Linked DNA regions of Pelodiscus sinensis. The protein of the gene in region 1 binds, or shares a complex with, the protein of each later gene. Links are inferred from orthologs where the notes say so. Each region holds a gene or a part of one and is shown on either strand. Other genes may lie near its edges.

Region 1 (7,886 bases):
TGTGTGGCTGCAGCAGCGGTTCCTCCAGCGCCCTGGGTCAGCCCAGGAACACATGGCTGCAGCAGTGGCCCCTCCGCTGCTTGGGGCAGGCCCGGGACCGCTGGTGATCAGGCCGCCATGCAGGACAGCTGGGAAGTCACCACACAGTTTTGGCCCCAGATTCAGCCCTGGTAAAGGACTACAGCTGGGTTAAGGCCTTGTGGTTGCTGCTTCTGGGGCAGGAGCTAGGGCGGCAGTGTGGCATGGGAGAGCCAGGGAGCTGCTGTGGTGGAGGATCAGGATGTCATTCTTCTGCTATCATCACTAGAGGAGTGGCACTGGAGACAGAGGCTTGTGTGCTGCTTAAAGTGTCAAACTACAAGCCCAAGATCAGAGAACTCAGCAAGGGAAAGCAAAGCCAAGGATAACACTAAATGGCAAGATCTGCATTTTTATTTATTGGCAACGACTGTGCTAGGCTGCATACTAGTCCTAGTCACTAGATTGAAGATTTGCATTAGCAGATATCAGAAATGCTGGTTAATTGAGGTTTCAGGTTACCTAAGTGCCAGATAATAGGGCTTTAACTATACTACTTTTAGATCACACTGGCTGCGTCTACACTGGTACGATCTTGTGCATAAGCAGCCGCTCTTGCGCAAAAACTTGTTGCCTGTCTACACTGGCTGCATGTTGTTGCGCAAGTAAACTGATGTACTAATGTATGAAATCAGGGCTTTTTGCATCAGAACTCTGACGCTCCTGCTCAGGAATAAACCCTTTTGCGCAACTGTTCTTGCGCAAGAGGCCAATGGAGACAGGCAACATGAATTTCTTGCACAAGAAAGCCCTATGGTTAAAATGGCCATCAGAGATTTCTTGCGCAAGAGAGCGTCTACGCTGGCAAGGATGCTCTTGCGCAAAAGCACATCTCTTGTGCAGAAGCACATGACAATGTAGACGCTCTCTTGCACAACTACTTTAACGCAAGAACTCTTGTGCTAAAGAGTTTTTGCGCAAGATCACGCCAGTGTAGACGTAGCCTTAAGGCTGTAAGCATTTTTCCCTTTACATTCAGTAGTAAGAACATTTACAAACCTGTGTGGGTACAGCACAGCATAGAAATTAGAAGAAATGCTGAGTGAACTGTAAGTGGATTAGGAACTTTCCTCACAAGTATCAGAATTAGTTCTTAAAATTTCTCTGATGAATACTGCTAATTTCTAAATTTTAACCTATTACACTTAAGAAATCTAAAATAAACATTGACTTTGACATCTTATACAATACTGGTTTCAGGTTTAAAAAAGTCTTTTGAAACATTCTAACTCAGGTGAATACTATAAATATTGATGATCATATTAGATAATGGGAAAGATGCTCTCTTAGATCCAGAGAATAGCTATATAATTAGAAGTCTGAACAATAATAGAGGAAAATACTGAGTTTCCAACTGACCAAAGAACAGCCACTTTCATGGATGTCTGAGATAGTAGGACTGATTTAATTATCAGCTCATCACCCTGCCAACACAGAAGCATAGACCCAAGCAATGGCGCTTATTATTATTTTGCTACTACTAAATGCCAGTGTTGAACTCTAGTGAAATGGTACCCATATTTATCAAATGTACTTTGCTCTAATACACTGCCCAACCACGTAACTACATTTTTAGTGACAGACTGGCAAATATAACTTAAAATAGCAATGTAATCTTCCCTTCAGCAAGACTGTCTACTCTTCTTCCAGAGAAAAGTCAGACACCAGTTTCAGTAAAATTTTCCTTAACAGGGCCTCCTTTTGCCCTTATGCTGAACAAAGAACCAGAGTGAAGGACAAAGAGAAGGGGGCGGCAACCACATCACTCTGCCTAACTTGCCAGCATGTTAGAAAACCCTCACCAGGCCCCAACAAAACTGCCGTTTTTTCTGACTACACAAGGTGAGGTAATATCTTTTACTGGATCAACTTCTATTGAGGAGAGAAAGCTTTCTCCCAGAGCTCTTCTTCAGGTCTGGAATTTCTGACCAACAGAGCTACCATAGTAGCAGCACTTCTGGCATCATCATGGGCCGATGATACTGCTCTCCTTATCCCAAACTGTGACAAGGCAATGAAATAGGTACTGCAAAGCAGCCTCATCCCCTCTTTCTTCACTGCAGTCAATATCAAAATTCCCGATCTATGCCACCCATTCTCAATAGGTAGTTCCGAGGCATCTTTCTTTATGTAGAAATTTAGCTCCAAACGAGTGAGCTGAGCAATACCTTTAGCCTAGCAAGCAAAGGGGACAGACGGGTTTCCACTTCAGGGCGTGCTGCCAACACCTGAAACTCAGTGCAACCCAAATCCCAAGCACCGCTTAGCTATGGATGACTGGTTAAGCCACAGGACCTAGTGCGCTGCTGTGATGAGCCGAGGGGCATCCGGAGCCAAGAGGTGAGCGCGCACAGCAACCCGAGCGTCTGCCCGGCCGGGGGAGGCTGCCAGGACCTAGGGGCAGCCGCGGAGATTCAGGACCCACCAGTCGCCCGCTTCTCCTCAAGCGACAGGCAGGCCCCCAGCGGGAGCGCTCCCCCGCCCCGGCAGCTACGCACGAGCCCGGGCGCAGCCCCTGGCGAACCCCTCAGCCCAGCGGCCTCAGGCGCGTCGCTCGGAACCGGGGCTGCGATCGGCCGCCGCCGCCCCGACACTGGAGCGAAGCGCCGCGCCGAGGTGCGGGGAGCGGGGGGGGGGGAGGGGCACGACGGAGAAAGCCCCGTGGGGGGGGGGGGCGGGAGGGAATCGCAGGGAACCAGGGCCCCGCCGCTCACCGTCATAGTAATAACAGACTTTCTTCTTGCCGCCGCCCTGACTGTACGCCATGGGGCCGCCGGGAGGCTGAGGCCGAGCCGGGCGGGAGGGAGGGAGGAGGGAGCCGAGCGAGCGTGAACTCGCGACGCCGGGGGCAGGAGCAACGCACCGACCCGACCATCAACAGCGGGGAACGGGGACGCGCTCACTTTGCAGCCGACCCGGGGGGGGGGGGAAAGGGCCGGGTAGCGCCGCGACTCCCGCCACCAGCTCGGCTGGGCCCGCCCGACACCTCCCCCCCGGCGCTGAATGGGGAGCCGCGCGGACCGACCGTCGGCCGGCCCGAGCGGGAGGCAGCGGCGGGAGGTGCGTCCCTGACAAATCAAATAGGGATGGGGCCTCTCCCCCTGTCGCAGTGTTACACAGTGGTACAGCCCGCCAGACTGCCTGCGCGAGGTAGCGGGCGACGCGCGCGTTCTCTCCCCCTCCCCACAATGGGGACGGTGTCTGCTCATGCGCAAAGCTCACTCCCCTCCCCTCCACCATCGGTCTGAATCGCGTCACGTGCTTGGGAGGAGGCGGGGCGGGGCTGCGCATCACTCCAGGCTCCGCTGTCTGACCCGGCACCCCAGAGGGGCGGCACGAGCGCACCCGCAGCTGCCACCCTGCCCCCGGGTGCGAGGCGGGGCCGGCGTGAAGCGGCCACTCAGACAAGCTCGTTGCAAACAGGCCGCGACTGGTCGCAAATCCCCCATCTTGTCTCCCCATTCTGGGGCGCCATTTCCGATTTAGGGATGGGGGAGGAGGGCTTTAACCAGCATTGCACCCCAGAGGCTACTTATGCACTTGGAAATTCCCGAGTTTTTTTTTCAAGTGGTGTCTCAGAAATCAGCTGACAGGCACAGCGGTCCTAAGTCTTGTATAAAGAAAAATATCACAAATACCCATTAGAGCCCCATTTTAAGGTTATTCCTACGTTTAGAACATGCAGCAGCAAGATATTTCCAACCCCAAATCTTGAGGTGTCAGTTTTGGAGCCTTAATACAAGTTTGATACCATCTTTAGTAGAGAGAAATAAAATCTGCTTAGCCTTGTATTTTTTAAAAAAAGTCTTATGCATGGGCAGCAGGTAATTTAGGCAAGGGAAGGCATTGCCTTCTCAAAACTGCCTACACTGCCCAGCCACCTAGAAGGGGCTGGGGCCATGGCAGCCCAGCAGCCAGGGAAAGCTGGGACTGTACAGCTGCCAGTCCAGTGGCCAGGAAGGCTAGGGCAATGCTGCATGGCTGGCACCCTGCTCTTCGGTGACTGGGGAAGGCTGGATCCGTGACACTCAGATGCCACTGACCTCGGGTGGCGATAGAGGAGGGGAGGAGAAAAGGTTATGAAGGGACATGATCTTGGGAAGGGGTGTGGCTTTGGGTGGAAGGGGCAGAGCCTTTGCTGTCTATCCCAGCTGGGCCTTTCCCCCACCACCCATGGTTTTATGGTCCAAATTGTGAAGAGGTGAATGAGAGAATTAATTCTTTCCAGGAATGTTTAAAAGTAAATAAATTACTGAAAAACAATACCCCAGATACGAACTAAAGCAAGGGATAATTTCATGATGTCATCTGGGCGGGGAAAAATCAACAAAAATAGAATTGCCAGATTTCTACTCAATCAATACAGTCATTTAAACAAAAAGCAATAACCCCAAAGTAGTCCAGTCTATTTATTTAAACTATTTCTTTATTACAGGTTGGACCTCCCTCATCCAGCACCCTGGAGACTTGAGCAGTACCAAATGAGGGGATTTGCCGGACCAGGGGAGGTCCCTCTACCCAGGATGTCCTGCTACCCTGTTTAGGGCTCCAGCCTAGCCTCACTGCTGTTTGCAGGATCTTGGCTGCCGCTGGGATTGGAGCTCCACAGCCGGGGGCTGGAGCTCTGTGGCTGCCGCTGCAGTCCCTGAACTCTATGGCTAGGGCCAGAGTTCCATGGCTGCCGCTGCCAGCCCCCCACCTGGCCGCCTGCTGCACCACCCGCCTCTCTGCGCCCTGACTCCCGGCTGAGTCTCCGCGCCCCCCCTGCCGCTCCTGCCCCACACTCTGACTTCCCTATACCGGGGCTCCGTGCTGGATCACGGATGTGCCAGACCACAGAGTCCCAGTTAAGGGAGGTACAACCTGTACCACGTTGGTCTATACCTTTAAAAGGACTCACTGTAAAGAATATAATTAAATGATGGATGTTAGCAGTGTAGATCTATAAAAAACAAATTGGGTGTGTCTAGACTGGCAAGGTTTTGCACAAAAGTGGCTGCTTTTGCGCAAAAATTTGCTAGCTGTCTACACTGGCCGCTTTAATTTGCGCAAGAGCACTGACTTTGTAATGTACAAAATCAGTGCTTCTTGCACAAATAGTTTCACGCTCCCGCTCAGGGAAAAGCCCTCTTGCACAAGAATACGTGCGCAAGAGGGCCAGTGTAGACAGGCACCTAAATTTTTTGCGCAAGAAAGCCCGATGGCTAAAATGGCCATCGGAGCTTTCTTGCGCAAAAGCGCGCCTAGATTGGCACGGATGCTTTTACGCAAAAGCACTTTTTGCACAAAAGCATCCTTGCCAATCTAGACGCTCTTTGGCGTAAATACTTTTAACGGAAAAACTTTTCCGTTAAAAGTATTTCCGCAAAATCATGCCAGTCTAGACATAGCCATTTTGTCAGACAAATCTTGGCTTGGGTTTATGTGCACTGAATTGTTTATGCAAATAGTTATGAATAAATACAAAGTATTGGAAGGAGGCACCTAGGCTGTGGCTCTAAGCATTTGAGGGTATAACCATCACCTCTGTGACATTCTAGACGATATTGGGTCCTCGAGGTCAGGGGACTGGACTCAATGACCTCTCATGGTTCCTTCCAGTTCTATGATTCACTGAAGGTACTCAAGATTGTGAGACTGCCATCCTAGGTAGCGAGGAGAGCCTGGCATGGAACAGGAGCTTAGATAGCTTTTGTCTGGCTGGTGAGGGGAGAAGAGTAAGCCAAAGAGGTGACAGCTCACCTTTGTGTTTTGTTTTTGCTGCTATAGTTCTGTACTTCTCAAGATGGAACCAATATCTCAGGAGTTCAGATTCTAACCTAGCTGCTGATTTCAGCCAGGAGCCAAGCAGCAGTTGGCATTGATTGGGTCTTTTGCTGTGCTTGATGGGCCTGCATTTCTTTCACTCTGATTAGTGTGAAGCAGAGGGGGAGCAGAGTAAACAAAGAAAACTGAGGGGAGGCAGTGTCCTGGTATAGTAGGAAACTTAGGACTGGGTTGCAGTCCACCTAAATGGCACCCATGGCTGATTGTCACAGCTATGTGGTCTATAGCAGCAGTCAGAGACTGTAGGCTATGTCTACACTACAGGCTTCTTGCGCAAGAATGGTTGTCTACACTGCACATGCATTCTTGCGCAAGTAAATTTACAGTAAAGCATCGGAAAAGAGGGCTTGTTGCACAAGAGTTATTCCTTTCCCCATGACGAATAAGCCTTCTTGTGCAAGAAGGCAGTGTGGACGGGCAACGGGTTTCTTGCACAAAAAACCCTTATGGGTAAAATGGCCATAAGAGCTTTCTTGCACAAGAGAGCCTCCACACTGTCATGGACGCTCTTGCACAAAAGCAGATGGCAGTGTGGACGTGCTCTTGCGCAAAAATTCTTGCTTTTCAGTGCACCCTGCTTCTGACAACAGCAACTACTCCCTTACTCTAGGAGAGGGGATTGAAGCCTGAGTCCTTCTAAACCCTGCCACCCTGGGCAAGGGTCCTGTAACCTGAGCCCCACCATATAGAGCTGAAGTCATTTGGCTTTAGCTCTGGCCTTGGGGCCGTGGAACTTGGGTTTCAGGCTTAGGCCCTAGTAAAAGTCTAACACTAGTGCTGGTGAACCCATTAAAATTGATCTGCTTTGGGGTCTTGACCCACAGTTTGAGATCTGCTGGACTATGATATACTCGGCTCTAGCTATCTTCAAAACAGTTGTATATACACCATTGCATTAACTTCAGAGTACTTTGTTATACATACTGGTCATTAAGTCTAGCAGAAGATTTATAGCTGTGCTCAACTTTACTCCCATGGCTATAGTGAGTAATATCAGCCATCAATAGATTGGCATATATGCAGAGAGAGAGAGAGAGAGAAGAATACTCTAGGGAACTAACAAAGTAATACAAATCTCAGTAAATATTTTACTTCAGCAACTCTTGCAAACAAAATTAAAGTATCTGCAGTGCCTCTCTTCAAAATACATGAGTGGTTCTCTTTTGAACTATATTGGTTTTGTGAATTCATGAAAACAACTTCAACATGTGAATATTTCTCATTTTCATGCATGCCACTATTTTATATGTTTTCCAGCAAGAATAATTATTCATGAGGGTGCCCGACTTATATTATGCCACATTACATGCAATGATTTTACTTATGAAAGTGTTAAGGGGTTCAAATCATTTGTCAGGCAGAGCAGAGAATTGAATCTTTGTTTTCTACATTCAAGGTAAGTCCTCTAACCACTGGACTATGAGTCATAAAGTGGGCATCTCTCCCATCCTCAGCCAGGCACCTTTCTCATTTTTACAACAAAAAATTCAGATGTCTAAGAAGCCAGCCTCCAAGAAAAGTGCTTTTGATTTTGTACTGCTGGAAAAGATAGGCATTTCTTTTCAGCCCTAACATAGGGCATGATTACACTGCCAGAATCTGTGGGAATTTAGCTGAGTACTTGCGAATCCACAATGAGTAGCCACCCTAGGTTTACAGTTTCTGGATATGGTCTGTCACATTGTCCTACACAGACTCTAGTCAAACCATCCTAACCCATGTGCTTCCTAACATCTCCCCCCGTTATAACCACACAAAACTTTTGGTAATGATCTACTGGAAAAACTTGATTGGTCATCTGTGACACCTTACCAAAAATTATCCAAGCTTTCCAACCCATCCTGCAGGGCCATCTTTTGGGTCTGCATGTTTCTGATAATCAGCACCAACAACATGGAGGAGATACCATGTGAAGAACTTGTGCTTCTTGCACTTTTAATCCCTTTGTCAGGAAATGGGCATAGTGTTCATTTTCTGTCCTA
Region 2 (7,325 bases), on another chromosome or scaffold:
CTTCATAAGTCCCTCTGAAAAGGAAAGTGGCACTGCTGGAGTCAGATGTGCTGGTGGAGCTGTCACTGTAACGGCAGCACCAGATTGGACAGGATGGTGTTGTGTCAACATCTGAACCTGTGGGTAAGGCCGAACAACCACCGGTTCCTGTTTCTCTTCACGAGACTGTAGAGAGCCACTGGGGCCCATGTGCTCTCTGGGACCAATTTCTGACTCTCGATTAGATTCATCACTCACTGGTGAGGAAAGAAAAAAGGAACTCTAAGGAAAAGGATACAAATGGAAAAGAAGTATGCACTCATTGCCAACAAGCCCTCAAATTGAGTGCAAAATGTACACATACAAAGGCAGTTTGTTTAAAACCTCCTGCACAAGAGACATTACTAATCCTGGTATAATATAAACCTGCTTGAAAAACAAAAGTCTCCAGAAGTCATTAATCCTCTTGCAAAGTGTGCTCTGTATTCCTCTTTGAGCCGTAAGGATTATCTCCACACATCATGGTCTAACACAAGTCACTGACAAGACACAATCATCCTTCTTAAAATAAACCTCTAACTGTAGCCTCTTTTTAATCTAATTCATAGTAACAAAATAAACTGATTGAGACCATCCGATCCAACAATGACTAAGGCCTCATGGCATGTATGCAATTTTTTTTTTATTAAATAATTCACTAAATGCAAGACTGTCTAACTACTTTCTCCAATTAAAAATAAAAATAAATCATCAAAGCAAAATCTACAAAAACAGAACACAAGCTGCCCCATTGGACAGTGATAATTAGACTAAAATTGGAATTTCTACCTTATTTCCACCTCATAAATTCTTAAGAGCACAGGAAGCTCAGCTGTAAACTGTGTTTTAAACACGATTATTAGGGCAATCAAAACCTACCTAGAATTTGTTTTATACTTACTTCTCTCAGAATCTCCTACCATAATTATGAATTTGAATTCTAAAAACATGCTTCCTTCCATCTTACTCTATAAGATCATATTGACTTACTGCTGGAGGCATCAGTAATGTGGCAACTCACTACTCAGGCCCTGATCCTGCAATGAGCTCCAGGTCCCCGGGGCAGGCATCTGGTAGCACAGATCTCATTGCAGAATTGGGACCTAAGACATCAAACACCAATCAAGAGTTATGGAGATAATGAAACAGTAACAGGTATTTCTAACACGGGCTTGAAAATGATCAGATACATACCCTCATTTAGCAATTAATTAAAGGAATATTGACAAACCATTTTAATCCACTTTCTGACAATATCCCTTTAATACATCAGCTAATCATGCACTTCTATTTATAGGTGAACACAGCCTATGTTCATGGGTGTATAGTTTGTTCTGAAGCCACTCCCTAGTTTCCACCTACCTGTGATGTCTTTGCAATTCTCCCCTCCCCAACAGAAAGGCCAATTAATATCTTGTACAACAACTATACTTTACTTTTTAGATGATTTCTAAACAGTCAAAATGTTTTTGCTAACATTGTTTTTCTAAGGCAACTTGAATATTCCCCGCCCACACTTATCCGGTACAACATGTGGGGTGTGAAAAAAGAGCTTACTACAATTCTTCAAATTAACATACCTATTTATATCAGCATTTGAGTCATGTCTGTCTTGGATGTGTTTAAACATCCAATCATCTTAATACAGTTCTGCAGAGCATGCAGCAAACGGTCTCAAACTTCCTCAGAATGAAATTGTTTTGGTAGGAAAAATGAATCTTCCATAGCTGTTTTACCTGTGGTTGTTGGGTTTATCAGCCCTGTAGATCCACTGTTTGAAATTGGGGGTGGTGCTTGTCCTAGTCCTGCAGGAGGGGCTCCAGAACGGGGAAACTGCTGAGAACTCATTTCCACCTGCGCAATGTGATGAAAATTGTAAGCAACATAATCCTGGCAATATGTTCAGCCTAAGACGCTCACACTTGAAGAGATGTGATCGCTCTCCTATCATGCAGGGAATGAGGTGACAATTTGTAACATAGCCCCATGGAACAAGGGGCATGCATTTTAATGGGAAAAGCTGGTTTGAAAGCAGACACGTTATCACTTGGTAAAGGAAGGTGGAAAGCAGGGCCCAACGCTCCCACAGTCTGATACCCGGCAGGGCGGTGCTGCTCTGGGTTGTGGATGACAGAGACCAGACGTGGAAGGGAGAGGGATGTTTCTTCAGGGCGCACTGCAGGGACCAGGGCAGCGCGCTAGGCACGGCACAGCATCACCCTGAGGCTGTGCCACAGCAACCAGACCGCCTCCTGCAATGGGCACCAGCTCCTCAGGTATCCCCCCCCCGCGCTCGCGCGCGAAGTACCCACTTCCCCCCCCTCGCACCAAGAGCCCCATAAACCGGCTACTAGCCCCTTCGCTGATTGGGTGGCATAAAGGAGACTACGTCATAGCCCTGTACCAATCCAAGGTCAAGCTGGGCCACGAGCCAATCGAACGCAGATTTAGGCTCGTGCGCTCAACCAATCGAGAGCCCAGCCCACTAGTGACCTCATGAGAGAGCTAGCCAATAGGATAAGAACGCACTGGCCAATAGGGAGCAATTGTCCACGCCAAGTCCCAACCCACCTCGCTGTGAGGGACGCGCAGAGCCCGGATGTTCACAAGCAATAAAGCGCAACGGCCACCAACAAGCCATTGGCACCTATGGGGCGGCTGGAAGAAGCGCCCCGCCCCCGGAGAAGTAGCCCCTCGCTCCTAGCCCTTGAGAAACCACCGTCGGGTTTCCTCCCCTCCGTCCAGCCTCCCGCGATCCTCTGCCGCCGGGTCTGATCCGGAGCCCGCCTCCGAGACCCCCCCCCTTTTTGGCCCGCCCGCCCAAGCGGCACGCGGAGCCGTCCCTGACCTGGGCTACCTGCTGTCCCGTGCGCGCGCTGGGGCCTCGCGCAGCCGCCTGCGAATCCGTTTCTCCCGCTGACACCAATGCTCGGACTCAAGCTCTCTCCTTCCACCGCCGCAGCCACCCTCCGCCTGATTGGCTCCGGTTGGTGCCGCCCACAACGCGTGACCCCGCCCAATCTGGGTTGAAACGGCGGCATCGAAAGGGCTTCTGGGAAAAGTAGTTTAACCCGAGAGCGCTTCAGGGATAATCTCGCCGGCACGCGGAAGAAGGCGGGGCCAGACCTTGAGCAGCGATTGGCCAAGACAGCCGCGATTCTGGGCCTAAAGGGAAATATCATGCGGATCGGGAGGAAGAGGAGAACAAGGTAATCTCGCGAGATCGGGGTTGGGGGGCGGAGTTTAGCGTGGCAGGGTTCGTGTGTCGCTGAGCCTGTTGCTCTGGCCTGCAGCTCGAGCGCGTGCGGTGTCTCCCCCGGCGGCACGAGCGGCGAGCTCTTGCTCTGCCCGGCCGGTGCAGCGAGCAGAACGCTACTCCACATTTGCGAGTTTGGGTGCACTGAGCGTGCGCACCCGAACTGAGCAAACTCAGTGGCCTTGCTGGAGCCGCTGCCCTCTCTGCCCCCAGGGCTTGTAGGATTTGCGCCCTCCTCTTTGGAGGGGTTTAACATGATTATTGGGGGCGAATTTCAACGGGGTGTGGGTCATGGTCTGATCAGGGGGCAAAAATTTACTGGCTGGGGGGATCAAGCTGCTTTTTTTAGCGGCAGAAGAGGAGCGAAATTTGAAAAATCGGGGGTGGGGGGGTAGCCGTGATTAACCCCGGGCGGGGGGAACAGTGCCAGACCCTGTGCGTGGACAAAACCCCCATTTCGGGAGGGGGAGAGGTAGGAACAGTCACCCTGCGGGACGAGCCACCTGATGTCCTTGTAAATATCGTTTTGCCAGGGGTGCAAAGTCTTTTTTTTTTTTTCTTTTTTTCTTTTCCCTGGATGCTGCCTGTCAGCCCCGAGGGGAGGAAGGGGGGGGGCTCCTGGGCTTGAGTTCTTAAAGGCACCGGCTTCCCAATTCCTAGATGGTCAATGCTTCCTCTGTATGTGTACAAGTGTGAAATATTCTACAGACAGTTCCTGTCTCAAACTCTGCCTCTTGCTTTTGGAGTATTTAATAGTTTTCTCTTAGTTTCTATGTCTATCTGAAGTCACTGCATCTCCTTTCTCGTGTACTGTGCTGATGTGCTAAAGTCCCTCCCATCCACACCCTCTCCTGTACTGCAATCTCCTGACCCATGGCAGAGCCCACACCCGTCCCCCAAACTCCCCTTAGCATGCACCCCTCCTGCACCCAAACTCCATCCCAGATCCTGAGCACCAAACATGGCCAAGTATCAGAGGAATCACAAAAGTTTCACTTGGCCATGTGGGCGAGGAGTCCTGTGGCACCTTATAGACGAACTGAAGATAGTGCCACAGGACTCCTCAACGATTTTTCAGATTAAGACTAACACGGCTACCCCTCCGATACTTGGCCATGTTTGGTGCTCAGGATCTGGGATGGAGTTTGGGTGCAGGAGGGGTGCATTTCTCATGTGGAATTTCAGATCAATCAGATTCTGAAGCCAGTGCTGCTAACATCCTCATTCTTCAGTATCTTACCAATGATAGTAATGATCCTATTGACATCCAAAACACTAAAACTGCCTAGCTGCTTTGTGACCTCCATCAAGGAAAAACATTCCCTTTGCTCACACCTCTGTTTATGTTACAAGTATTCTCCTATCTAAGCCTTGGTGAAACTTTTGTTCATAGTGAGTTTTATACTGGAGAAGCTTCATTGAGAGAGCAACACCATCTCCTTTCTGATCGTTTTGTGGCTTCTGCTGTGCTTTCCTTCAACCATCTGGACACATAGATACCTTCACCATCTGGGAACCCTGATCAGTGTACAGCTCCGCAGAGTGGTGAGTTCCCTCTCTCTCTTTCTCATTCCCCCACCTCAAACTACCTCTGTAAGCATAGTTGGTGCAGTGTGGCATTGCTGTTAAACACAGCATGCAGAGTCCATGATGCGTCACACTGAGAGTGATGATTACACAATACTCTGAGTTGTTCTGTGTTAGTGGGTGGCAGTGTCTGTGTGTGTTTCAAAGTTTGGAATATAACAACCTTGAGTAACCTAGTTCCTGCAATAGAGCTACAGTGTGGTGGTGAATTATCAACGTTGAAAAATATGTTCCCTATGAGACCATAAGTAACTACAAGCAGGACAATGATATAATTGCTAAGCTCACCCCATTCCTATATCTGTAACAGGGACCAATTCTGTGCACAACCTCAGAGCCATTACAGTGATATACAATTTACTCGATAATCTAGTTACAATATATTAATTTTAACAATTAAAATTTCTGTTAAATGATTGTTTAATTGCAGTACTGAGTATCAAGTGATACTCATATGTATATGTTCTAGGTGTTTCTTTTAATTCACATCCTTAATACTTTTTCCACAGTATCTGTTCCCCATATATTTTCAACAAGCAAAAAGTTTCTTCTACTACACACATCATTATGGAAGGTACGTTTACTTGTCCAATATGCATAAAAAAGTGTTTTATTGTGCATTCATTTGCTTTATGAACCATGAGTTTTAGGAGTTAGGAGGCAGCAGTCACTAGGGTAGCTACTGGAGCAATGGGAGGAGACATGGAAGCAGAGGGGAAAAAGTTGAAGTTTATAATACATGCATTGCTAACAGGGAGGATATTTTATTAATAACGTATTAGCAATTACTGTTCTTATTATTAGTCGGAATTTATTAACTTGGGGTGTTCAGTCCCTTTTTTGTCTGTCAAGTAGTGTTTTCAATTATTTGTCAAGCAATGACTATAATCAAGGATCTAGGTGATATCAATCTCAAAAAACATTAGATCATCATTGATGGAATACATCCTTCTTTGGTAACACATACATTCAGGAGAATTATGCATGTTCCTTAAATTAATTTGTCTGTTGTCACTGGCTTGACAATCAGGCCTTGTTAATATTGTTTTACGTTGCTTATATGTACGCAATGTAGATCTCATATTTTCTACTTGAACTGACTGTTATATGGATTGCTTTTCCCATTTTCCAATTCACTAGCTGTTTCCTGTTCTGAACAATTCTCAGGGAAATGTTTTGAGGACAACATTAAAAATGTTTTGGCATACATAACGAGTAACACATATCCTGAAGGAATGAATAAGGCTGGACGATTGAACCTTCGAAGATTTGCTAGTAGATTCTCTTTGGAAGGCAAGGAATCCTTTTTTTAATAGAATAATCACATTACAATGGATGATACATGCTGTACAGGATTGTACTGCTGTCCCAACACTGGGATTATTTGGAATGTTTACCTTACCTTCACTGTTACTGTGATTGTCAGCATTACCTTCATTCACAGTTCATTTAAAAATTATATTGCTATCTATGCATACATGAAAAATATTGGTCAGTTACCTTATAAATTAGTAAGAATTATAATTCTTTGAAAATTAAAATTATCACTGTTCTTCATGTCTTATGAATATTCTCCTTTGTGATGCAAGGCACCAACAGCAGTCACTATCTGGTCAGTGAGCAATGATTTCTAATTTACAAAACAAATAAATAATCATAATCATACACTGAAAGTCACACCTTGTACTCCCACAATTACGAAGTATACAGTGTATAGATTTCCTTGCTATGTGTGTCTTGTATAATTTTTCAATACCAATGAGTGAACAGGAAATGAGATACAGGGGAAGATGCTTAACAGAGATGTAACATTGGTTGTTGCAGCAGGCAATCACCTTACTCATCCTCTTTGATCCATGTTCTATATTCAACAGATGGCACATTGTACCATTCAGCCAAAGGAAGAAAGGTTATCGTTGTGCATACCATGAAAGAAGCACGGACACTTTTTGAACGGTATCATGACAGTTTCATGGGTGGACATGAAGGAATATTCAAAACTAGGAATATCATGACTTCAAAATACTATTGGCCAGGGATGATGAGAGACATTGTCGATTAGGTATGTAAAGATTTGACAGTAATTCAGAAAGAAAGACATTGACTATTGAAATACAATTTCATGATTTATAAAATTAAGAAAATATATATTCGCTGTGGAAAGGTGAACTCTGTTCCCTTGGAGTACTAATGATCTAAGGAAAAAGTAATGTGATTGTGTTCTTCAATCTAAACTAGGTTGTGCGATGTCCGACTTGCCAGAAACAGGGAAAGAAATTACATGTGGATAACAGCTTGAGAAGCATAAAGGTGCGTTTTTTGTAGTCAGACACATTATTTATCAATTGTGACAAAGATAGGTCATTAATTCACTGTGTCCCACATTTAAGCACAGATTTTGATCGCTCCGGAGGCTATCTGTTACCCACCATGTAGCCATTAATTTTCTAGAGAAAAAGCTCAC
Region 3 (7,826 bases), on another chromosome or scaffold:
TATGAGCCCGGCTTGCCATTGCCAATCAAAAACTTCTCTTATTCAGTTCTTCATTAGCTCTAGAGGCATCCTTTCCACATCCAGGCTACTCAATGCTGCTTTTATTGAAGGGAGGAGTCCTAAAAACAAAGATTTCCGGAATTCGGGGGTATCGTGTATCACATTTCCATCCATTCCAGTGCTCAATCCTGCCAGTCTTTGGAGAAATTTTTTCCTGATGAAATAAAGCTCTGGCCTTTCTCCTTCCCTCTGTTTATCCGAATAATATCTACCTCGAATGTCATCATTGGGGTAGAATAGATCATAAAGAGCCTTATACATCCTATTAAAATCAGGATTAATCGAATTGGCAAGATCAGCTGGGAAAGCAATAAGGTCCTCAGGAAGTAAGCACTCTTGCAAAACCACCAGCATATCGTCACTGGTTAGGTTGGTTCTGGCTAGTTTAGCCATCCAGTCCAGTGCATTGTTCTTTCTGCAAGGGCCTAGATTTTGCCCTACAGCTCTGGCTTGCTCTGGTGACAACACTCGTCTTTCATATTTCACAATAGGGTTTGGATCATTAGGGTGGAACACCTCAGTGGTGACAATGGGTTCCACCATACCCTCTACCAGCTCATTAGTTAATATAGTGTTCTCATAAATGTCCTTTTCAATGCCCTCGTTGATAGCAGAAACGAAACCTCTTGCAAGGCCTAGTTTCTGCTCTAGTTCTTTCAACTTTCTCTGGCATTCTGTGTGATCCATTGAGATGGGTTTAACTTGTCTTTTCTCATTTAATAGATGTCTCGCTGTAGCTTTAGAATCATTAAATCTAGCTACTTTATCAGTTATTTCACTCTCTAATTGTTGACATCTATTAATAACATCCTCCATTTGATGCGATAGCGCATCCCTCTGTGAACATAAGGTATTGTATTTGGTTTCTCTCAGAGCCAAATCAGCTTTTAATTTATTAATGGTAGAGTACTGTGCCATTCGGATTTCTAGCGAATCATTTAATTGCTTACTAAGAGCCTCTACCTCTACGTCTAATGATCTAGCCACCATGGCTAATCCTTGTATAATGGCTGCCTTTTTAGTCTTTTTATTAGGCTTGGGTTTGGTCTGAACAAAGATTTCCCACATTACTTTAAAATTCTTTAAACAATCTTTCCCTTTTAAATCACTTGCATCCCACACATTCACACTTTTAATAAAGACATTAATATCTTCTTCAAGAAGGATTTTATTTGACTGCTCTGCTGTCTTGCTGCCTTGCAGTCCAAAGATTCGGGGTGCCTTCTTGGACGCCATACCTTAAACTTGTAAGGGTCCTACCTTACCTTTATAAGTCTGGAAGAAACCTGGGGACTTCTGTGTTATCAGAGACAGTAGGCTGATCAGGCCTCTGCTCTGCAGAAATTCTCCTTAAGCTATTAAATAAATAAACTGTACGCAGCAGACTGCGCAGCACCTTTGGGGCGCTCCACGCAGTGAAGCAGCAGTTGCTAAGCAACCCGCCGGTAAACATTCCACACTAGGCAACGCTCTGAACCCCGTGAACATTCCAAAATGCAAATTGACTTTATGCAAATGTACTTGGACCGGTCAAAATGCAAATTAATTTTATGCAAATTAATCTTATGCAAATTAATCTTATGCAAATGGTGGAACACCTGAATGGAGGAACGTTCCAACCCAAAATGGCTACCCCAAACTTAAAATGGCAGATCGCCAGCACACCTGAACATTCTAAGAAAAACCTCTAAAGGGGTTTAAAATCTTAAAGTGGTGGAACGTTTATTCCATTGATGAAACGTCCTGAACCCAGAGGATTACCGCCTCTAAAGGGGTTTTAAAATGAGGTGAGTAACTTTGTCTTAGCAGCAGCAAGCCACCTCAAGGAGACCCAAAACAAGGGACCCTCAGTTTTAAACCTTTTAAATTCAGGTTAAACTGCCCAAAAGACTACTCCTTGAATTGCTTAGCTTGGCTCAGAAGTAGGACAAGCTAAGCCTTATCTCAAGGTAACACAGCTTAAGGATACCTATCCCCTCCTTGTTACCCTCTATCTGCCTAAATCCTAACAAACCAAAACCCACAAGCCACACACTTGATGTTCATTTGAGGTATGTACACTTAAATAAAAAAACTAAGAACTGACACTCTGAGAGGGTCCTGCCGCGGTTGCCACAATTCTGTTACCTGTCTATCGAACAGAATAAGGAAGGTCAAAAGTGTTTAAAGACACTTCCCAAAGAGTTAGTTTAATAACCCGACCAATCCGCAAGGTTAGTTTCTAATTCATTACATTTCTTTAATACCTCCTCAATTTGAATATTTAATGCATCTCGCTGTGTGCGTAATTTGTCAATTTTGGCATCCTTTATTTTAATTTCATTAACCAACTCCCTATTCATAAGTTTTCAAATTCAAACAGTCAGGTATTACTACATGCCAGGTGACTAGAGGCTAATGGTTTCTTAATATGATTGACAGTTTAGGTTACAAGAATGATACACATTACAAGACATGGGTCGCAGAGGAGCATCCTCACCCTGCTTAGCCACACGATCACCTTGGAAGAGTAAACCGGGAGAACGGATAGGGTCTCCGGGAAATGTACCCGCAAAGTGGTAAAACGGGAGTAGGCCCCGGCCTGCCCCGATTCCCTCCCCGAGTCACTGGACCGTATACAGCTATCTGTTGTTGATGCGTGCATCTATGCTCCACCCCCATAAGTGGGGGTGGGCCCAGAGGACTAAACCAGCCCACACCAGGTTCTGCCGCGGTTGCCAAACTGTTACTCGGAAGGCTGAGGTAAACAATGGCTGTGGGCAATTAATTAAAGCCTAATGCTGCCTCCCCCACAGAAGCCAGATTCAACCTGGAACACGTATTTATCACCCTTGGGAAGATAGTCAGAAATCAGGTCAGACCCGAATTTAGGGCCAAACCCTATATTTTAGAAAGATAGCAACACGCATCAACAACAAGAACCACAGTAAGTGACCCACCCTAACCTGGAAGAAAAGAGAATAGAAAAGATCCCGTATACAAAAGGAATATACTTTACAACAAGAATTGAAGGCGGCAATGGACGTCTGCGACCTCGTGGCTAATTTAAAGGAAGGACAGCAGGCAGATCCCTTGAAGTGGGGTATCCTCACCTCCATATGGCTGACACACTCCGGATTCCTTGGCACCAGTCCCTCGGCTTGGTGAGGCTCCGCGGGTACATAAACAATGGATAGTAAAGTCCCATAATCCAATGATACCAGTCCCAAAGTCCTTAGAGAGGAGACTTCTCTCACACCTCAGGAGGGCACAGTTAGTGTTAGACCTGGGCGGCCTTGACCAGACCACGTGCGGATGGCGCTTCTTAGGGGTGACGGCAGTAAGGCGGGAAACTGGGTTAGCGAGTGGGGTGCAGTAGAATAGGGCGGTGTGCATAGGAAAAAGGGTGCAAGGTGCATAACCTGGCTGCGCACACATCGCATTAGAGGGGGGTGCATAGGTTAGCATTCCTCCGTGTGATTTTGGCGGGAAGAAACTGCTGAGGTGATAATGATCAGTAGACTCCATTTTGAATCACTAGCCTGGGTAACATGTGCAAGAACGCACTTGCAGTGTAGACACCCAGCAAGTTTTTGCGCAAGAACAGCTGTTCATGCACAAAAAGTCTGCAGTGTAGACGTAGTTATGTCCACTCTGCACGCTTATTTCAAAATAGCAGAGTGCACGTCTAAACAGCAAGGCTATGTCTACACTGGCGTGTCCTTACGCAAAAACTCTTTTGTGGAAGAGTTCTTCTGCAAAAACTCTTCCAGAAGAGAGTGTCTATACTGGCATGTACTTTTGCGCAAGAGCATGTGCTTTTGCGCAAGAGCATCCATGCTAGTGTAGATGCTCTCTAGCGCAAGAAAGCACTGATGGCCATTTTAACCATAGGGCTTTCTTGCGCAAGAAATTCATGTTGCCTGTCTATACTGGCCTTTTCTGGAAGAGCTCTTGCGCAAGAGGGCTTATTCCTGAGCAGGAGCGTCAGAGTTCTCATGCAAGAAGCCCTGATTTTAGACATTAGGACGTCATTTTACTTGCGCAAGAACACGAGGCTAATGTAGACAGGCAGCAAGTTTTTGCGCAAGAGTGGCCGTTTTTGCGCAAGATCGCGCCACTGTAGACACAGCCCAAGGCTGTTATTTCAAAATAATTTCAAAATAACAGGCTTCTCCGACTTCTCCCTTTGACTTCCTGCAGTGTAAACAACATCAAAAGCAGAGTTAAGCTACTTTGACATCAACTATATTCCAGTTTTAGCTCCAGTGTAGACGTGCTCTGAGTGTTGGTCTGGGCAGACTGGGTTATGGCACTACCATCTTTGTCAGCTCTTGATCAGGAAGCTGCACGCCCTAGTCAGAACCCCACCTGCCAGCAAGGGAGGCTCCCTAGAAGACGTTCTCTCCCTGGGGGCTGGGAAGAACATCTTTAAGAGCCAACCCTGCCGCTTCAGAAACCAGCCAATCAACACAGCCCCCCATTGACTCTTTTCAATGCATCTGAGGAGTCTGAGACAATCGTGCTGGGGGCGGGAACCGCGTGGGCGTCACAGCGGCAGGCTCTAGGGCAGCGTTGACGTCACTGCTGATGGGGCGGGGCCAAAATTCTCTACGCTGTTTGTTTGGCAGCATCAAACCGGAGAGGGGCTTGCCAGGCCCTCCTTTGCCCCGCCCTCAGGTTGTTGGGCACTCTCCTGCTACGCATGCGCTTCTCCGCCTCGCTGCCTGAGTGAGCCCCGGAAGGGGCGGTGGCCGGTGGGCGGGAACGTTGAACTCTGGCTTCCTTGTTGCACGCGCATGTGGCGCGCGCGCTTTGGCGTCAGCGCCGCCTCTCATTGGCCACTGCCTCGGGGCCGTCGCGGGGCTGACCCGGAGGAAGAGCAGCCGGGGCGCTGCGCACGCGCATGGGCGGTTGGGAGTCTGGGACTCCAAGCCAACGAGGCCGCCTAGAGCCCTGCAGGCCGGCGCGCGAGCGGCCGCTTTTGAACCGCGGCGGAGACGGCGGCGCCAACTCCGCCCGGGGCAGGGGCGCGCAGCGCGGGAGGGAGCCCCAGTCACAAAATGGCGAATAAAGAGAGTAAGAGCCGCGAGGGGGGACGCGGGAGAGGGGGGGACGACGCGCGCGCGCACCTCAACCGGCTCTCTTAGGCCCAGACGGTTGTCGGTGGGGGGGGGGCGGTCCATTGGGGTGGGTATTTCTCCCCCCCCCATCACACACTTCGGCTCCCAGGAGCCCCCGCCTAGCGCGCCTCTCTGCCCGCGCAGTGTTCGAGGACACGGTGGAGGAGCGCGTCATCAACGAGGAGTACAAAATCTGGAAGAAGAACACCCCGTTCCTGTATGACCTGGTGATGACCCACGCGCTCGAGTGGCCCAGCCTCACGGTGCAGTGGCTGCCTGATGTCACCAGGTGGGTGGGACTCCTCCTTCCAACCCTCCCTCCAGGGCCCCGCTTCAAGCCGCCTGCCCCGCAGGGTTGGCAGCGCCCACTGAGACGTCCTGGGAAGGATAATCCTAGCAGTAAAGGGTTGCAACCAGTCAGTGATACCTATATTTCACCAGGACTATGTAGCACTTTAAAGACTAACAAGATGGTTTATTAGATGAAGTGGGTCTGGCCCACGAAAGCTCATTATTTAATAAACCATCTTGTTAGTCTTTAAAGTGCTACATTGTCCTGTATTTTACTTCAGCTATATTTCACCAGTCAGTGATACCTTCGGTATCTGGACTACTCTTGCTGCACTCTGTAGAGAGAAAAGCTGCCTGTTAGATTATCCAGGTTTGATATGCCTATTTAATGTTAAATGCCTTTAACTTCATTAATACGGATTTTTAAGTCGGTGCTGATGTCAAAATGCCTCTACTTAATGTGTACACACTGTTGTATTTACACTGTTCAAGCATAAACAAAGTTTTGTTAAAAACTTACTTGTCCAATTTACTGATGTCAAGAATACCTGGGGTTCAGCTGGTAAACATGTATGTGGCTGTGCCTAATGTGTCTGGGAAAAGTGTTTTTCCCAGTTCATCTGTAATCTCCCATAGAAATTGGGATGTTACAGAAGAACTTTATCTCTCAAAATATTTACTAATATGGAATAACTGTTCTACTTTTGTAAGACCGTTTGTTTTATTGAACAGGCCTGAAGGAAAGGATTATGCCCTTCATTGGCTAGTATTGGGAACACATACCTCTGATGAGCAGAATCATTTGGTTGTTGCAAGAGTCCAGATTCCTAATGATGATGCTCAGTTTGATGCTTCTCACTATGATAGTGAGAAGGGAGGTGAGTATTGCAGGAATTGTTGATTGTGTTCTTTTAGCAGTAATGTAAAACAGTGCCTATTCTGTTTAATGGTGTTCTAACTTGTAACCTTAAAAACATTTTTTCTTAAGAGTCTATTTGTATATTAAAGTTGTTTTTAGTATATTGCAGTGCCTCTCAAGCTTTCCAGACCACTACAGGCAGTCCCCGACTTACGCGGATTCGACTTACGTCGGATCCGCACTTACGAACGGGGCTTTTCTCGCCCCAGAGCCCACCCATGTCCTCTGGGGCGAGAAAAGCTTCTCCCGGTCTCCCTGGTCTGCTGGGGGGGTCCAGCAAAGGTGCTGGACCCCCCCCCCCCAGCAGACCAGGGACACCCGAGCAAAGCTGCCGCCTGAGCGGCTTTGCTCGTTTGCCCGGGAGCAAAGCTGCCCAGGCGGCGGGGGTCCCGCTGCCTGGGCGGCTTTGCTCCCGGGCAAACGAGCAAAGCCTCCCAGACGGCGGCTTTGCTCGGGTGTTCCTGGTCTGCTGGGGGAGTCCAGCGGCTTTGCTGGACCCCCCCCCCCAGCAGATCAGGGGGACAGGAGCAAAGCCGCCCAGGCGGCGAGGGTCCCGCTGCCTGGGCGGCTTTGCTCGCGTCTACCTGCTCTGCTGGGGGAGGAGGGGGTGTAGCTAGTGCGCCCCCCTCCCCCCTCCCAGCAGACCAGGCTTTTGTTGCGGGACGCCTCAGGTAGAGCAGCTGGGGTGCTGCCAGGTTGGTCCTGTGGGAACCTACCGGGCAGCGCCCCAGCTGTTCTGTCCCAGGCTCCAGATTCAGCAGCTGTTGAAACTGATCAGGCTGATTCCAGGAAGCTGGGGGCAGAGCAACTCTGCCTCCGGCTTCCTGTAGTCAGCCCCTGGTCAGTTTGTGGCAGCAGCTGAATCTGGAGCCAGTTCCAACTTACATACAAATTCAACTTAAGAACAAACCTATAGTCCCTATCTTGTACGTAACCCGGGAACTGCCTGTATACTCATTTCAGGAGTCTAATTTGTCTTCCACACCCCAAATTTCACTTCACTTAGACCTACTTGCTTCAAAAATAGATTTAAAAATTACAGAAGTGTCAGAGTATATGTAACTAGGCAAGTATCTGGATGAGTTGATGTATACCCTGGAAAACCTCTAATATCCCTATGGGTACATGTACCCCTGGTTGAGACTCAGTGGTTTAAAAGTGTAGTTCTAGAGCCTTAATATATTTTAGTCTAGAATGACCCTTTTAAAAAAAATATCTGAAACCCGATAACGTGCATTAAGTCAAGTCAGTATTGGAGAACTTCCTGCAAGAAGTTTCCTGTTTCGTATAGGTATTGACTTGACTAAGTTTTTCAGTTGTGACACTAAAGCTGTGATCACCAACCTGTCGATCGCGATCGACTAGTCAATCGCAAGGCCTCGACCAGACGATCATGAGGTGTTTGGGCTCCTCCAGGCCTCATTTTCCCCCCACCTCCGAGAAGCCCCACTACC
Region 4 (7,428 bases), on another chromosome or scaffold:
GACAAAATTCCTAACAAAGAGGTCCTCAGGCTGTGTGATGTCATGGGCATGGAAGCAATGTTTATGAACAAAACAGTTTCATGGTGATGTCATGAGAACAGATGATATATGGATGCTGAAGATGGTCTTCTATGACCAGCTTGTTCATAGAAAGCACTCTGTTATTGGTGGTTATTATAAGCATTATAAAGATATTTTAAAGGCCAATGTGAAGTCAAGTGCTGTATCTCCCGATGACCTGGAAATCATAGCTCAGGATAGACTATTCTGGCAGTAAACTATTGAACAGGCTCTCAAACACTTCAAGAGTCAATGTATCCAGACATTACAGGAAAAGTGCAGGATCTGAAGAGTTCACAACATCTACAGAGGGCAGATTTTGATGTGACCTCTATAATCAGATTTGCCAAACAAGCATTGGCTTAGTCGCTCACCAACGGTGTCATAGAATATGAGCTCCATCGGTTGAAGGTTCAGTACACACACCCACACGCAGAAAATGCCCATTAAAATGTCTTTTGAACTCAAACATTTTTTTGTAAGTATGCAAATCAAATATGACAGCATTTTGCTAAAAAATGAGAATCAACCGCTAGAAGGTAACTGATTGACTTTGTTCCAATCCAAATGAAGTACAGAAAGAAAACTAACAACGTAATGATTGATGTCAAACAAGACATTTAAAATCTCTTGAATTTTAATCAGTGCTTTTTTTGTAAGGGAAAAGGTGTAGGTACTCTGGGGCAAACTTGTTGAGCAAAAAAACCAGCCTCATGTCGGGGGCTGAAATGTGGTCACGGCCCCTTTAAGAGCCATAGTGCTGCATTGGGAGCCGGGGGAAAAAAATGCCGCGCGTCCCAAGAAGGCTTCCGTCAGGAGCCGAGCTGCCCCAGGAAACAGGTGCCAGTATGTTCAGGGAAAATCCCATTCTTTTTCTGTGGGCTGGGAAAATAGGTGACAGTACGCCATTGTGGGCACTACCAGCACAAAAAAAGCACTGGTTTTAATAATCTCACTGGTTATTAGGCATGTGAAGGGGTAACTGGTTACCCAATAAGCATTACCCTTCCTCAGTGATGCTATCAGGTAACAATTAACTGGTTCCCTGGGAGCAGCCCTACCTATAGTCCCGTGCCAGAACGATTCTCCCTCCTGGGATCCTTCTTAGTCACTTAACCAGTTAAACATTAGGTTAACCTACCATTTAATGGGTTACCTGGTTCATTGGAATTTTACATCTCTAGCACTGGTTACATCAGAAAAAAAGGAACATTTTAAATATAGATAGAGACAAATTCAGGTCCGGTTTGGAGCCGAACTAGAAATAAATTTGGCCTCTAATTTCTAACTTGACAGGAAAAACATTTAAATGATATATATTTTTAAATTAGATATTCTCTGTCCTGAATATCTCTCTCTATATAAACATAAAATGTAATTATTGAGATCTGTCTTACACACATAGTTTTGTATGTAGTATATTAGAGGCAGGGTTCATATGGTTCAAAAAACCTGGACTTTTTTTGAGTTGCAAGTTTATGGGCATGTTTTCTGGTGGAGCCAATACTAAAGCAGGTTAATAACATCTCTGGCCACTTTCCCTTTGTTCAGATGAACAGGCTTTAAACACCAAATCAAACAAAAACATTAAAAAAAAAACCATGAACAGGACATGCCATATTTCCAAAGCTCTCTTCCCAGCTTCCAGAGTAAGCTGTCATCTGCTTTCTCCTGAAATCTGTCTAGCCACTTTTTAAGGCTTTCAGCTTGATTACCTGAGCTAGAGATAGGAAGCCTGGGGCCTCTCCATGCATTCTCAAGTTCAGGGGAGTCACTCTCATCCTAACCTACTTGACAGAGTTGTACCATGTCTGAACATGATTGCCAGCAATTGTGGTTAGCTGACACAGTAACGAAACCGGATCTGAATCAGGACAACCCTTCACCTTGTGTAGTCATTTATATCAGTTCAAAATGGATTTTATATAAAAATGCCACATAATCTTGCCAACCTCATCATGGCAATCCCAGATCTATTCTGCTAATAGTACTTTGAAATCTACGTTTATTTAATTGCAATGGATAGCAGCAAATGTCACAATTACATAATCAAAAGGATATTTGATTATTTTCCTGTTCTAAACTTGCAGCTTTATTGACATGGAATGTTTCCATAACCATGGAAATGGTAGACTATAATAGGCCCTGTTATAGTAAGTGCAGTAACTTGATGTGTTTGTTCAAATGCTGATACATTTAACATTGTTCTTTATTTGACTGGTCATGATTAGCATTTGAATTTTAACTGAAATAAATTAAATTAACTTAATACTGTATTAAGGTAAATGGTGGAAGTTCACATCTCTCCTGGTGATGTTTCAGCCTGAATGTTTTAAGCTGAAAACCAAAGTACATTAGAGAAATTTACAGTATGAAGGGCTAGCTGTTGAAAATATAAAACCAAAGCTGTGATCACTTGTCAAACATGTAATATTGAATACCAATTTAATGCCAGTTTTAGCTCACTGATTAGTATGCACACAGCTTTCTACTGAAATGCAACCTCTATGGGATAGAATACACCAGCTATTTCTTCAAATGAAACTGCAAAAAGAGTTTTAGTAGATAGAATTGTAACACCCCAATGAAAATTACATTAGCACACAAAGGTTAATAACTCTGATCATGAATAAAAACATTAGGCTTGGCTTCCCACACCCTTACACCCCATGTAGCTATGTAACCCTATGTCACTTTGTAGAAAGAGGTATCATTTTTATGTGATAGCATTTTATTTATCCTTTGCACTACTGTTCATAACTACACAAGGCACTGGGGTAGTCCTGTTTCAGGCTCAGTTTCATTACCATGTCAGTTAACCACACTTGTTGGCAATCATGGTTAGGCATGGTACAACTCTCCTCATCTCCTGCAACACTTTACTCTGTAACACCATGAGACATTGGAATCACATGCCCACAACAGAGGAGTCTTCCTCTCTATAGCCTTGCCTGGACTAGTGATCTGCTTCCTTTTTAGCCAAGAGTGTAGTTGCAAACCCCTACCATACGCAGAGTAAAATGTCCTACCAAGAGCAAACCCCTACCATATGCAGAGTAAAAAGTCCAAAAACCATTATTAGAATCAGTGCACCTGCTTAAAATTGGGGTAAATTCATCACATTTTTCTTTTTTTTTCTGGTTTGTGATGTGCTATAGCTTTAGAAAGATGTTCAATTCACAACTAAATGAGCCACCTTTGGGAAGGGAGGGAGGAGTGAGGAAACAGTCACAGCACCGTCTCACCTGCTTTTTCTCCACTTTTCTCACACTTTCTCCAAACTGTGCTGTTACACTTTCTGCCTCCCGTCTCATAAACCTCCTCCCTCGCCTTACATTTCCCTCTATAGCCCCCTCATATTTCCATCCCCACCCCTAACCAACCCCTTCCTTCTTTGGGCTTCTTCCTTTTTGCATGGTTCCTACCTCCCCCCCACCCCCCCACAACTAGTCTGTCTCCATACTCCTCCCTCACAGGTCCCACTCCCCAAACACTTACTCTCACTCCTCCACCTGCACCTTCCCATATGTCTCTCCCAAGCTCCCCTTCACAATTCTCCCCCTCTCTTCATCACACCTCCCCCTCCCACAACACCTCCTCCTCTCAACACCCTCATGTCTCTCCTCCCACTCACGCATCCGCCATCTGTCCCCTCATAGCCTCCCACCTTTGCATGTATCCTGCCCTCCTCTCACCGCCCCCTCCCCATCGTCTCCCCCTCCATTACCCCCCACTCCACTTCTCCCTTCCCTCCCTCTCCTGCCTTCTCTCCCCTCCCCCCTGGCCCCTATGTCCCTCCTCCAAGCTCTTCCCCTTCCCACCCTCCTCTCCACTTGCCTCTCTCCTCACACCTCCTCACCCCTCCCCCGACCCGTATGCCCCTCCCCTCCACTTGCCTCTCCCCTCACACCTCCTTGCCCCTCCCCCGACCCGCATGCCCCTCCCCTCCACTTGCCTCTCCCCTCACACCTCCTTGCCCCTCCCCGTCCTGCATGCCCCTCCCCTCCACTTGCCTCTCCCCTCACACCTCCTCGCCCCTCCCCGTCCTGCATGCCCTTCCCCTCCACGTGCCCCTCCCCTCACACCTCCTCACCCCTCACCTGCACGTGCCCCTCCCCTCACACCTGCTCGCCCCTCCCCCGTCCCGCATGCCCTTCCCCTCCACGTGCCCCTCCCCTCACACCTCCTCACCCCTCACCTCCACGTGCCCCTCCCCTCACACCTGCTCGCCCCTCCCCCGTCCCGCATGCCCTTCCCCTCCACGTGCCCCTCCCCTCACACCTCCTCTCCCGGGTTCTCACCCCTCCCCGCCCCAGAACGCCTCGTTTCTGCCTCTCACAAAATGGCGCCGCCGCTCGGCCCCGTTTCCCGCCCAGCCCGGCGTCACGTGACCGCGGGGCGGGGCGGGGCGGCGCCGCGTGCCGGGAGCGGGCGAGAAGGGCGCGAGGCGACGGGTAAAGTTGCTGGTTCCCGTGCGCGGCTCGCTCCCCTCAGGCGGCGGCTGCGATTCGCAGCGACCCCCCCCTCCCAGGGCAGCCCCCCCTCCCCAGGGCAGCCCGGGACAGCCCCCCCTTCCCCAGGGCAGCCCCCCCCTCCCCAGGGCAGCCCCCCCCGCCCGGGACAGCCCCCCCTCCCAGGGCAGCCCCCCCCGCCCGGGACAGCCCCCCCCTCCCCAGGGCAGCCCGGGACAGCCCCCCCTTCCCCAGGGCAGCCCCCCCCTCCCCAGGGCAGCCCGGGACAGCCCCCCCTTCCCCAGGGCAGCCCCCCCGCCCGGGACAGCCCCCCCCTCCCAGGGCAGCCCGGGACACCCCCCCCCTCCCCAGGGCAGCCCCCCCCGCCTGGGACAGCCCCCCCTTCCCCAGGGCAGCCCCCCCGCCCGGGACAGCCCCCCCCTCCCAGGGCAGCCCGGGACACCCCTCCCCCTCCCCAGGGCAGCCCCCCCCGCCTGGGACAGCCCCCCCTTCCCCAGGACAGCCCCCCCCTCCCAGGGCAGCCCCCCCCTCCCCAGGGCAGCCCGGGACAGCCCCCCCTTCCCCAGGGCAGCCCCCCCCGCCCAGGGCAGCCCCCCCCGCCCGGGACAGCCCCCCCCTCCCCAGGGCAGCCCGGGACAGCCCCCCCGCCCGGGACAGCCCCCCCCTCCCAGGGCAGCCCGGGACACCCCCCCCCCTCCCCAGGGCAGCCCCCCCTTCCCCAGGACAGCCCCCCCCTCCCAGGGCAGCCCCCCCTCCCCAGGGCAGCCCGGGACAGCCCCCCCTTCCCCAGGGCAGCCCCCCCGCCCGGGACAGCCCCCCCCTCCCAGGGCAGCCCGGGACAGCCCCCCCCTCCCCAGGGCAGCCCCCCCCGCCTGGGACAGCCCCCCCTTCCCCAGGACAGCCCCCCCCTCCCAGGGCAGCCCCCCCCCCTCCCCAGGGTAGCCCGGGACAGCCCCCCCCGCCCGGGACAGCCTCCCCCTCCCAGGGCAGCCCCCCCTTCCCCAGGGCAGCCCCCCCACCCCAGGACAGCCCCCCCTTCCCCAGGGCAGCCCCCCCCCCGCCCGGGACAGCCCCCCCTCCCCAGGGCAGCCCGGGACAGCCCCCCCGCCCGGGACAGCCCCCCCTTCCCTAGGACAGCCCCCCCCCCAGGGCAGCCCCCCCCCGCCCGGGACAGCCCCCCCCCTCCCCAGGGCAGCCCGGGACAGCCCCCCCTTCCCCAGGGCAGCCCCCCCTTCCCCAGGGCAGCCCCCCCCGCCTGGGACAGCCCCCCCCTCCCCAGGGCAGCCCCCCCTTCCCGGGACAGCCCCCCCTCCCCAGGGCAGCCCCCCCCCCCGCCCGGGACAGCCCCCCCCCTCCCCAGGGCAGCCCCCCCCCGCCCGGGACAGCCCCCCCTTCCCCAGGGCAGCCCCCCCCCTGGGACAGCCCTCCCTTCCCCAGGGCAGCCCCCCCGCCCGGGACAGACCCCCTTCCCCAGGGCAGCCCCTCGCCCCGGGGCAGTGCCCCCCTTTCCCTGGGCAACAACCCCCGCCTTCCTGGGCAGCGTCCCACTTCTCAGGGCAGTGCCCCCCTATCCTGGGCAGGGACACCCCCTCGCCAGGTGTAGGGACCCCCCCACCCTAGGGATGGGACCCCCGGCCCAGTTAAGGACTCCCATTCATCCTCCCCTGCCAGCCACCTCCAGGATTCTTCATTACAGACAGGGACCTCCCACCCTACCCACTAGGGCAGGGACCCCCCCTCTCTGTGGGAACAAGTACTCCCCCACCCATCCCCGCCAATGGCAGGAAGTCTCCCGTCCATTATGGACAGGAAGCCCTCCACACTCATCACCTCCAGGGCCCGGGACCCTCACATCACTCAGGGACCTCTCTGCCCCCTCACCCTCAGCACAGTTGGGAATTCCCCTGCCCATATGTTTGGGGCGGAGATCACTCCCATGATAGGCAGGGACCCCCTCCCATCTCCCTAGGTGGAGGGACACCCTATTCCCATCACAGTTGGGATCACCATCCCCATCATGGGTAGGGATGTCCCACACATTCTTAGGGGCATCCCTCATAGGGAGGGAGTTATTCCCTCCAGGGGCCAGGATACCCCTCCATCATAGTCCAGTATCCATCCTACAAGGGTCAGGAGCAGCATCCCCCTTCCCAATTTGAGCAGCAGCCTTATCCCCACCAGGGGAAGGAACCCACAGAGTCCTACCACCAGAGCCAGGAGCAACTCCCCAGGGGTAATATCAGTCCCTTTGCATCCCTCCGGACAGGTAGTCTCTACCCAAACAGGAACTCTCCCCTCCCTTTGCTACCATGGACAGCAGTCTTCCCCATCCTCACAGTGCCAGGAGCATTGTCCCAACCCATTTGGGCCTAGAGCTAGAAAACAATCCCCCCTCCTTGCCAGAGGCTGGCTGACTCCTCCCTCCTTTTCATCTCTCACAGGGCCAGGGGTCAGAGTGGATAAAAAGTGATTTAAACATTTTTTTATTCTTTTGAAATTGAAATCAGATGTATTTACTTAAATGCATTTTTCTTTTTAAAAAATAAACCCATTGAAAATTAAAATTGAAATGTTCAACCTATATTAAGACATACACATTTACTAAATTAAAATCATTTAAACTAAATACAAATAATTCAAGAAGCACGTTTGCTATTGAAGTTTAAAGTAAAACAATCAGACTGGTGGAAGTTGCCAACTAAGCACCTAAAACCAGAATTTGCTGATATGCTAAACCAGATATTGACAGCAATAACCTCTTCAGGTGCAAAGAATACTGTCTTCAGCTGAGTTTATTCAACTAGTTTAGTTCATTGGCCAGTTAATATTAAGTTCTTTCACCTCAATTCAGCCTAGGAAAGGTGCCACCACCCTTCTTATTCTTCAGAAAAGAATG

Evidence for each region.
Region 2: HDAC2 (region 1) and SAP130 share a complex: the UniProt entries of both Homo sapiens proteins name them as parts of the mSin3A corepressor complex. The link is inferred for Pelodiscus sinensis from reciprocal best matches to the Homo sapiens genes HDAC2 and SAP130.
Region 3: HDAC2 (region 1) and RBBP7 share a complex: the UniProt entries of both Homo sapiens proteins name them as parts of the core histone deacetylase (HDAC) complex. The link is inferred for Pelodiscus sinensis from reciprocal best matches to the Homo sapiens genes HDAC2 and RBBP7.
Region 4: HDAC2 (region 1) and ZNF541 share a complex: the UniProt entries of both Homo sapiens proteins name them as parts of the histone deacetylase complex. The link is inferred for Pelodiscus sinensis from reciprocal best matches to the Homo sapiens genes HDAC2 and ZNF541.

What each region holds. Positions count from the first base shown.
Region 1 is NC_134713.1:81,522,073-81,529,958, forward strand, and holds the start of HDAC2 (histone deacetylase 2), read right to left. Parts: upstream 3,003-7,886; 5' UTR 2,845-3,002; coding exon 2,793-2,844; intron 1-2,792. UniProt on the Homo sapiens protein: Histone deacetylase that catalyzes the deacetylation of lysine residues on the N-terminal part of the core histones (H2A, H2B, H3 and H4).
Region 2 is NC_134720.1:5,765,061-5,772,385, forward strand, and holds the start of SAP130 (histone deacetylase complex subunit SAP130), read right to left. Parts: upstream 3,015-7,325; 5' UTR 2,876-3,014; exon of another isoform or gene 2,867-2,875; intron 1,873-2,866; 5' UTR 1,867-1,872; coding exon 1,755-1,866; intron 1,122-1,754; exon of another isoform or gene 1,010-1,121; coding exon of another isoform or gene 1,009-1,009; intron 237-1,008; coding exon 1-236. UniProt on the Homo sapiens protein: Acts as a transcriptional repressor. May function in the assembly and/or enzymatic activity of the mSin3A corepressor complex or in mediating interactions between the complex and other regulatory complexes.
Region 3 is NC_134711.1:210,747,432-210,755,257, forward strand, and holds the start of RBBP7 (histone-binding protein RBBP7), read left to right. Parts: upstream 1-4,811; 5' UTR 4,812-5,102; coding exon 5,103-5,118; intron 5,119-5,306; coding exon 5,307-5,451; intron 5,452-6,185; coding exon 6,186-6,331; intron 6,332-7,826. UniProt on the Homo sapiens protein: Core histone-binding subunit that may target chromatin remodeling factors, histone acetyltransferases and histone deacetylases to their histone substrates in a manner that is regulated by nucleosomal DNA.
Region 4 is NW_027465999.1:199,474-206,901, forward strand, and holds the start of ZNF541 (zinc finger protein 541), read left to right. Parts: upstream 1-4,428; 5' UTR 4,429-4,514; intron 4,515-7,428. UniProt on the Homo sapiens protein: Transcription regulator which is essential for male fertility and for the completion of meiotic prophase in spermatocytes.